2 linked regions of the Daphnia pulex genome follow. The protein of the gene in region 1 purifies or fractionates together with the protein of each later gene. This does not show direct contact. Links are inferred from orthologs where the notes say so. Each region holds a gene or a part of one and is shown in the gene's direction. Other genes may lie near its edges.

The links. Proteins that work in one complex are often made in the same cells at the same time.
Region 2: the proteins of DNA (cytosine-5)-methyltransferase 1-like (region 1) and histone-lysine N-methyltransferase EHMT2-like purify together in Homo sapiens (affinity purification with western blotting; 3 studies listed by BioGRID, with this or other methods). This does not show direct contact. The link is inferred for Daphnia pulex from reciprocal best matches to the Homo sapiens genes DNMT1 and EHMT2.

The regions. Positions count from the first base shown.
Region 1 is NC_060019.1:5,827,141-5,832,645, reverse strand, and holds the start of DNA (cytosine-5)-methyltransferase 1-like, read left to right. Parts: upstream 1-1,848; 5' UTR 1,849-2,018; intron 2,019-2,139; 5' UTR 2,140-2,157; coding exon 2,158-2,567; intron 2,568-2,630; coding exon 2,631-2,989; intron 2,990-3,053; coding exon 3,054-4,667; intron 4,668-4,731; coding exon 4,732-5,505. Other genes in the region: putative phosphatidate phosphatase, read left to right, coding at 1-90, 209-391, 498-549, 636-755. UniProt on the Homo sapiens protein: Methylates CpG residues. Preferentially methylates hemimethylated DNA. Associates with DNA replication sites in S phase maintaining the methylation pattern in the newly synthesized strand, that is essential for epigenetic inheritance.
Region 2 is NC_060028.1:9,378,630-9,382,960, reverse strand, and holds the end of histone-lysine N-methyltransferase EHMT2-like, read left to right. Parts: intron 1-63; coding exon 64-134; intron 135-199; coding exon 200-429; intron 430-499; coding exon 500-669; intron 670-730; coding exon 731-889; intron 890-956; coding exon 957-1,166; intron 1,167-1,239; coding exon 1,240-1,384; intron 1,385-1,443; coding exon 1,444-1,552; intron 1,553-1,616; coding exon 1,617-1,788; intron 1,789-1,852; coding exon 1,853-1,931; intron 1,932-2,003; coding exon 2,004-2,351; 3' UTR 2,352-3,027; downstream 3,028-4,331. UniProt on the Homo sapiens protein: Histone methyltransferase that specifically mono- and dimethylates 'Lys-9' of histone H3 (H3K9me1 and H3K9me2, respectively) in euchromatin.

The DNA.
Region 1 (5,505 bases):
TGCTCAGTTATGTCCGTTGGACGGACCGCCTACTTATATCACCGATTACAAATGTACGGGTGACGACGAAAAACTACTTCGGGAATCTAGGTAAATAGAACTCAAACGAAAAATATGGGAAGGTTCTGTTTTGAACCTTCACGCTCGCTGACTTCATAAAAAAATATTATAATTTAAAACCTTGCACATTTTCGTCATCTGCATTTAGATTGTCTTTCCCATCTGGTCACTCTTCCTTTTCGGCTTACACGATGCTGTTTTTGGCCTTCTATCTCCAACGGCGGATGAACTGGTCAGGCTCAAAGCTACTCCGGCCAACTATCCAGATATGCGTATTAATGCTTTCGTGGTACACTGGCCTTTCCCGAGTTTCCGACTACAAACACCACTGGTGCGTTTCCATGGACTTATAATTAAACTTTCTAAGACTATCAAAATCCCCTTTAGTGCGCAATCAATCTTTTGGGATTTATTATGTCTTCTTTTCTTGTTTACAGGAGTGACGTGCTGTCGGGATTTCTCATCGGCGCCATCGCTGCTTCCTTAACGGTATCAGCGCTTTTTTAATTTACAACAGACGGCTGTTAGTTAAGATGTGGTGGCCAACTGATTCTTGTGTGTTGAATTCAAAACAGGCCCTTTACGTCTCCAGACTCTTCCAGCCGTCCATTCGTCGAGACATGGCCCTCGTGCCACAGAGTAGAGAAGATGTCGAAATGCAACAAAACCATCTGCAAGCTTCAGCTGGCAAATGACTCTTACTGGCCGGTAATTGATTGGGCAATCAATTTCCAGACTGAACACAAGTGAAGGAGGGAAATAACCGCCACTGTCAACCGTTTCGTCGCTACATACCAGTGGACTACTCTTCGAAAATATTAGTTGATACTTTTTTAAAAATTCACAAAATAATATAAATAACTGGCTTGTTCATAACCCCCTCCCCCCGTGATCACACAGTTAGGTGCCTTTCTGTTTGCCATACGTATTATTATTATTATTGTTTAGTTCAGTACCCAGAAATTTCAACATTCACTGAGTTGCTCCTTAACCTAACTTACACACAACAAAATCTCACGAACGCAACTGTAAAGAGAGAATTCACGCTCTTTACATAATAATAAGTTGCCGTATAACAAATACACACGATTTTTAGCAAAGGAACTTCTCCACTCATTCCACCTTCAAAGACTTTTTACATTTTAGTCTGTACGTGACTCACTACTAGTGGGGTGCGCTGAATTTAGAACAGCAAGTTTGTGAATGGGGTCCATCTTTTTATTGCAAACATGCACGTTTGCTGGAGTCCGCAGTTAACGAGATCGTCAACTTTTTATTTCGGTGCATGGCTAGTAAGGTAAACAGAAGGGAAAAAATTTTTTTTCGTGCGAAATATCTATATTAGTATCGATAAATAAAAGTAGGATACTAAAAAAGAAAGTTGTGAATAATGATCAAGGTTAATGAAGCCATGATTTATCGTTTCGGGAATAATGAGGTCATCATCTTCTATTTGTTGCATACGTTTGAAGTGAACTCATCAAACGTAGGCTATCATCTTCACGGTTTCTGGGATAAATTCCAGAATTTAAACATTCATCTTCTCTCATTTGGGGTAGTTTAAATGCAGTTTAAATACCGCAATTCAAACTCATGTAATTATTGAATTGTGTACTATACGTCGATACACGCATTGAAGGACGCACGGTTCTTACACTTTGTAGAAAGTTTGAATTTAAATTTTTTTATTTCTTATAATCTTATAATCTTATATCATTTTTTCATTTATTCATTTTATTTTAGATTGCGTCTTTTTTTAGAAGGTGGCACCACTGTCTCTGGCACTGTCTTCCATAATCCATAAAAAGGCGCGAAAAACGATCAGCTGAGAGCCATGACTCCATGAGTTAGTTGAATTGGCAGTGCTTTGTCAGTGAGAGATTTTGATTTTACGAATTCATTATTTTAGGTTTTTTTTAAAGAAGTCACGTCGGCCATCAGTGGATAATTTTCAACAAGTAAGTTTAAGTAGAATTATTATTCCCGATACATAAAACATACTAGACAGTTAACAATGTGCTTTAGCATTGTTTTTTTTTACAATAATTGCCTTATTCAAGTGTATTGGTATTTTTATAGGTATATTTGACAACCATAATGAGAATAGAATGCACAGATGGTGATGGGGTTGCAGGAAATGAAGTCAATGTGAAAGAAGAGCCCCCAGAACTTCAAGCTAATAGTGAATCAAGCCCAGACACTACACCCGTTGAAGAAGAAACCAAGCCGATGCCCAAAACAGTTGAAGAAGAAGCCAATAAGCCAACATCTAAACCAGTAACTGTATTGTCAAAGACAAGAGGAGTTAAAGTTAGGTATACATTTGATGAAGCTGCTGCGTCTGGTGAGGGGGACGATGATTTCCTTCCTGGCAACACAAAAAAAAAACGAAGAACTGCCAGCAGGCATGCAAAGGTAGAATTGCCAGATATTGGTGGCTATAGGCCATCAAGGAAGAAGAAAATCAACCGTAAAGATCCTAATCGCTGTCATGTGTGTCGTCAAAGGTAACTTAATCATTATTTTTCTTGTCTGTTATCATAAAATCAATTAATGATTTCATTTCCAAGGTTTGATTCTCCTGATTTGAAATATTTCCCTGGTCCACCAGCAGATTCCATTGAAGAAATTATTGCTCTAACTGATCCATCGTTGAGCTTGTTCACTGGTGAAGAAGAGGTCATGTCAGAATTGGATCAAAGACCCATCTTGAAGCTCACCCAGTTTGGCATTTACGACGAACCTGGCCATTTATGTCATCTAGACGGGGGTGCAATCGAAGCTAACCATTTACTCTTCGCTTATGGTTACGTTAAGCCTGTGTGGAACGATAACCCGGGTGTCGAAGGAGGTATTGCGACGAAAGAGATCGGGCCCATCAACGAGTGGTTCATCAGTGGCTTCGATGGAGGAGAAAAAGCAATCATGTGTATGTTTTAATTTATTAATTAGATGTTTTAAAAATATTCCTGTATTCATTTATCAATTTTCAGGTTTCGCCACTTCTTATGCTGACTACTATTTAATGTCGGCTTCAGAATTGTACGAACCCATCATGAACGAGTTGGAAGAAAAGATTTTTCTGAGCAAGACGGTCATCGAGCTCTTGATCGAAGACGACAACGCCGAATATGAAGATCTACTGACTAGACTGCAGAATTCTTTGATGCCCAATGGTTCCCGCGTATCGGAGGATTCTCTTTTGCGCTACGCCGAATTTGTCTGCGATCGCGTATATCACTTTGATGCAGCTGGAGCCGAAGACGAGCCGCCACTTATTCTTAGCCCGTGTATGCGTACGCTGATTCAATTGTCAGGTATCACACTCGGTAAGAGAAGAGCTACCCGAAAATTGGAGAAGAGACGCCAGCCTAAAGCCAAAAAAGGCCCCAACTGGACAAAAGCTACTACTACGCCATTGGTTGGTTACGTCTTCGAGAGCTTTTTCCGTGATCAAATGGAGCAAGGAGAGGACAAATTCGGCCCTACGTCTGCTCCTCGCCGTACTCGCTGTGGTATTTGCGAAGCCTGCCAGCAAACAGACTGCGGTAAGTGCAATTTCTGTCGAGACATGGTGAAATTTGGCGGTTCCGGTCGCAGCAAACAGAGTTGTGTCCTCCGGAAGTGTCCGAATAGAGCTGTTCAAGTGGCAGACGACGATGACGAACTGGACGCTGTTCTCGACACGGAAATTGAGGTGGTGAGTCTGGATGTCGACCACAAAAAACCTGTCAAGCGCCACGCCTACAAAATTGAATGGGATGGACCGGAATTGAAAGAAGTCGACGATCTCACTTTCTACTCTGCCGCGATTGTCAACGGAGACATGCGCGTCTTTGCCGGAGGCCACGTCACCATCGAACCGGATGATCCTAGCATTCCCATGTATATTGCCGAAGTCATAGCTTTATGGGAAGATGGGAAAAGTGGGGAGCAGTTTCTACACGCCCGCTGGTTTTGCCGTGGAACTGACACTGTGCTGGGAGAAACTTGCGACGATCCCAGAGAACTTGTTCTGATTGAAGATTGCGAAGACCTACTCCTGTCTGCCGTCGTGAAAGTTGTCAACGTCAAGTACAAACCAGTGGATCCCGTCAAATGGAAAGCAGAAGGTGGATCAGATGACCCGTCTTTATTTCAGAGCGAAGAAGATCATTCCGACACGACGTTTTGGTACCGCTATCTCTACCATGGACGGACCGGCCGTTTTGAAGATCCACCCGAATGCCCGGACGTAGTAAACAACATCAAAGGATGTCCCTGCTGTGATCGCCTGGATGTTATCCGCCAACGTGATTTTGCCAAATTGGGCAACAAGTTGGATTCAGGCGGTTTTGACAGCGTCACATGGCACGAATTGGATATCAAAGTCGGTGAAGCCGTTTTCCTCGAACCGGGCGCTTATGCAATGCGGGGGCCAGATGGGAGTATTGTTAAAAAGGAGAAGATTGATCCAGAGGAAGATGATATTTTCGGAGTAGAGTACGACGAAGAATATTACCCAGAAAAGTACAGGAAAACGGACAACATCAAAGGATCGAATAACGACACACCCGACCCATTCTGTATTGGCTATGTCGTTGGTATTGCCTATAATGGCATCCTGCGTAAGTTAATTATTAACAATTAATATTTAATTCATTCGTGTCTAACGTGATTTCTTTATTTTAGACAACAATTTGAATGCTCGTGAAGTCTGTCTAAAAGTTAAACGCATCTACCGTCCGGCCGACACCCATTTGGGGCGTGATGCAGGCTTTCGCTCTGACTGGAATTTGGTCTACTGGTCGGATGAGATACACAAACTGGAGTTAAACAAAGTTGTAGACAAGTGCGTCCTTGTCTGCAGCACTGCCATTGATGAACCCATTGAAGAATTTGTCCGGGGTGGACCTAACCGCATGTATTTCAATAAGGCCTACAACCCGGCTGAGCGGGAATTTGAGCCGCCACCAGTGGAAGCCGAGCGAATCGGTTCCAGTTCCAAAGGAAAAGGTGGAAAGTCACTCAAAAGTGTAAAATCTATTCAGCCGACCTACCCATCGTATCCTAAAATTGAACCGCTCAAGACTTTAGACATTTTCGCCGGTTGCGGCGGATTGTCCGAAGGCCTACACCAGTCGGGAGTGGCCAAGACCTACTGGGCTATTGAGTGTGAGCCTACGGCAGCTCAAGCTTTCCGACTCAACAATCCTGATGCTGCCGTCTTTACCGATGATTGTAATACTATCCTCAAGATGGCCATTGACGGCCTACTGGAACAAAACGGACAAGCTCTACCACCAAAAGACGGCGTAGAGCTGCTCTGTGGAGGGCCGCCATGCCAAGGTTTCAGCGGCATGAATCGCTTCAATTCTCGCCAATATTCATCATTCCGTAACTCTTTAATTGTTTCTTATTTGAGTTATTGCGATTACTACCGCCCGCGATTCTTCATTCTGGAAA
Region 2 (4,331 bases), on another chromosome or scaffold:
GTGTTAATTTCACTGGAATTATTATTTTATCCTTGCACTTAAATGGCCGTTTGATTTTTCCAGTTCGTCAAGCAACAAGAGTCTTTACGTAGCGGCTAAAACCGGCGATATCGAACGAGTGGTTGAGTGTTTAAGTAAGGGGGAGTTTAAGAAATAAGAAAACGATCTGCTATTAATGAAATTTTTGTTGATACCGTAGGGCAAGGTCATAACGTGAATATGACGTACCAGGATGCAGACGGCCAAACAGCACTTCACGCCGCTGCTTATGGCGGTCATTTGGCATTGGTCCACATCATTTTGCAAAGCGGAGCGGCACTTGACAAGTTAGATCAGTCGCAAAATACACCTTTAAGCTTGGCTTTGATTCAAGGTCACAATGAAACTGTCAAATATCTAGCCATGGCTGGGTCTTGTTCATCGCTCAAGGTCTAAAAACATTATTAAATAACAGTTATTAATTCCTGTTCTAAACTTTGGGGGTACTTTCGTTTTTCAGGGAGAAGGAGGGATGACTGCGCTTCACTTAGCATGCAAAAATGGCAATCTAGAAGCTTGCCATTACATCATGACAATCGGAAATGGCAAAAATTTCATCAACGTTCAAGACGATGGAGGATGGACACCACTAGTCTGGGGTTGTGAACATCGACGAGTAGACATAGTCAAGTAATGATCAAACATTTACTGAACCTGAGGTCAATTCTACATAAAATAACTTTTCTTTTAGATACTTACTTCAATGTAAGGCAAATCCTAATGTGCGAGACGCGGAGCAGAACGTTGCTTTGCACTGGGCTGCTTTCTCTGGATCCGTTGATATTGTTGCCCTTCTACTTGACCAAGGATGTGAAGTGAATGCTGCCAACGTTCATGGCGACACTCCACTGTAAGTTGATTTTTGTTTCATTTTCAGGATGAGTTGATTTCTTTATCGTTACATTGTGCAATTAAAGGCACACGGCAAGTCGTCGAGATAACTGTGAATGCGCCTTGCTCCTGATACATAGAGGCGGGCGTTTCGATCTAAGGAATAAAGAGAATCAATTAGCTTTAGAGGTTTGTCCTGATAAGCGGTGTGACTCGGCTTTATTGTTGACGGTCAATATGAAACTTCAGCCATTTACTCAAACGCCGTATTGTGACTCTGAAAAATTCCTCTCAAAGTAAGATCAAGTATTCAGTACAAGACATATTCAAAGAAGACTTAAATCAACGGATTCTTCAATTGTTTTACAGCGACATCACTAAAGGGAAAGAGGCCAACCCGATTCAGTGTGTAAATGGATTTGACGATGAGCCTAAGCCTAACGACTTTATCTACATCACAGAAAACTGCTTCACGAGTCCACTACATGTCGACAGAACCATCAACTCGCTAACGGTATTGTTAAAATTACAACTACTAAATAGAAAAATAAGTTAAACAAAATTTAATTCTAGTTTTGCGAATGTGTTGGTGACTGCTCAACCAACTGTAACTGTTCTAGTCTCAGCTTTCGTTGCTGGTACGACGAAGAAGGCAAACTGGTGCCCGACTTTAATTTCGCAGGCAAGTCTTGGATACAAGTAGCCTATGTTAAAAATTACTAACACGTTTAGAATTATTGCAACAGATCCGCCAATGTTGTTCGAATGCAATCGTGCATGTCAGTGTCATCGGGGATCGTGCAACAACCGTTTAGTTCAACATGGAATTACCTCGCGTTTAGTTCTTTTCCGCATCGAAAACAAAGGTTGGGGCGTCCGAACAGCTCAACCCATTCCTATGGGATCCTACGTCTGCGAGTAAGTGCACCCGAACTTTGTCGTGATTTTCGTAGATAATAACCTTGTTTATCTCATCTCGTAGATACATTGGCGAAATCATCACAGACTTTGAAGCTGATCAACGTGAGGATGATTCATATCTTTTCGATCTGGATAACAAGGTAAGTTTATGAATGAAAAAGTACTTAAGCGAAAGTTGCTGCATGATCTTACCTATTAATATTTGTTAATAGGACGGAGAAACTTACTGCATCGACGCCCGCCGTTATGGCAATATAGCCCGCTTCATCAACCACTCTTGTGAACCTAACTTAATTCCGGTAAAAGTTTTTGTCGACCACCAGGATTTGAAGTTTCCGCGCATCGCATTCTTCGCCGTCCGAGATATTGAAGCCAATGAAGAGCTGGCTTTTGATTATGGTGACAAATTTTGGATTATCAAATATAAGTCATTCACGTGTTCGTGCCAATCGCCGAAATGCAAGTACTCGCAGTTGACGATTCACCGAACAGTAGAAGAATATCGGCGTAGCCTGCAACTTCAAGAACTCGAAAATGGCTACCAGCACTCCCAACGTTAGTAATAAAAAAACAAATTTCTAGTTGCTGCCAACTTATGCATGCGCTCTCCCAAATGCCATTCATTATTACTCTTCCCGTTATACTTTGTCTTACCTTCGTTCAAAGTTTTACATAATGAACTATTGTTGACTTGCAATATGCCATTTGGATTCAACACTACTCAAAATTTTGCCACCTACTCCCCACTTCCATTTGTGCTCTATCATACCTGCAAGTTGGTTTTTATTACCTACGAAACGTTAATGAACTCAATTTGGTAATGTTGAAGAAAAGAAACGATTGTTTACCGTTCCCTCACCTACTTAATTTTTAATCACCATGATTACGTCGTAATGAACTTGTTGTTGACAAGCAACTTTAGGAATGAAATGATCCCCTGCTAAACAAGTGCGTGTAGAAAAAAATCCTTGTAGCTACGCGTTGATCAGTATGTGCAATTTGTTTTTTCCTAGTCCCATGTTTTTTTTTTCCTATAGCTGTCCTACGTCTTATCAATGTTAATGGTAGCTCCACTTTACATGGGTAACACTATTCGATTCAAATGACTTGTGGGTGCATCGTGCATCATCTCTTCTGTAAATAAATCTCACCTGAATGTATGTTCAAGTCTCGTCTCGCATTTTCCTCCCTTGTACTTGTCAATTTTTCTTGGCAAAATATACCTCGTTTTGCGTAGATGTTGCTGTTTTAGTTCCTTAATGAGTGAGCCACTCCTCATTCTACCTGAAATGTATAGAAATAGTATTAATTCATTTCAAAAAGAATTTTTAAAAAAGAAACAAAATGAATGTTTTGTTTTTCTTTTAAACAAGCGCGAATAACGGCCTGATTGTGTAATATTGCACGATAAATGAAACAAACCTCAGAAAAAACGATAACACTGACGCAAAACTCTTCTGTCCAAAAAAGAAATTCATCAACATACATAAAAATTGCTTGTCAAACTACACCACCACAATATTAATGAAAACCATCATGATAATGACAGTGAAGTGATAATAATGCGCAATATGTCGATCTTGTCGGGAAGAACAAGGTGAAACAATCAGGTGAGAATTGTCTGGGTTTTTATGGGTAGGGAGTGAGTGAGGGAGTGGGAGATTAGGCGTAAGGAACACACTCAGTTGGAACAATCAGTACCAATTAAATTCTGGAAAGATACTTTGGCAAAGAAAAGTGCAATAACAATGCGTAAGGGCCCGTAGGCCTAGGCAGATAAAATCAGAAATTTAATGGCACAAACATCTAGTGACCGGGCTTCCAGTTTTACCAAAAACAAATGCGCAAATCAAAACCGAAGAAGTTGATAGAAATTATTCATCCACTTTACCACCAATAAAAATTCCGATAAAATCTTAACAACAAATTTTAGATATTAAAAATGTTTAAAACAAAAAGAATCTGGACTTTCTTCAATTTGTTTTCCTTAAAGCTGTTATTTAGAAGTGGGTTAACTTAATAACTGGTAGCATGAGAGGACAACAATTCTCGCACTTTCAACAGCTGCGAATCCTCATTAGCAATTGGTTAAAAAGGTCTAAAAAACGGTTGTGCGTGGCTCCAAAATTACGTCGTTAAACCTGAACATTGTTCAATTTTAACAACGTAATGTTTCACTTATGATTCATGAGGAATATGTAATGTGATTTAAGGAATTGTAAGTGAATGGCTTCTGACTTTGGATAAACCTAAATGTCGGGAAGGTGAGCAGAAAAATCCTCACCTTAATATCAAAGAGCGGAAGTGACAAAATAGGGATAAGGAGGATATTTGAATTAACTAATAAATTAGCTATGAATCTCTGCTCTGTCATTCCATCTCAAAGATGTTTTGTTTTTCACTTTAAAAAATGCAAGACAATGCTGAGATCATAACGGTGATTCGTGCTCTCAAAATAAGATTGAAAAAAAAACGACCTGATGGATTTGTTGGTCGAACGGGAGGAAGAGAGCACGATAAAACAACCGATACGAGAGTGA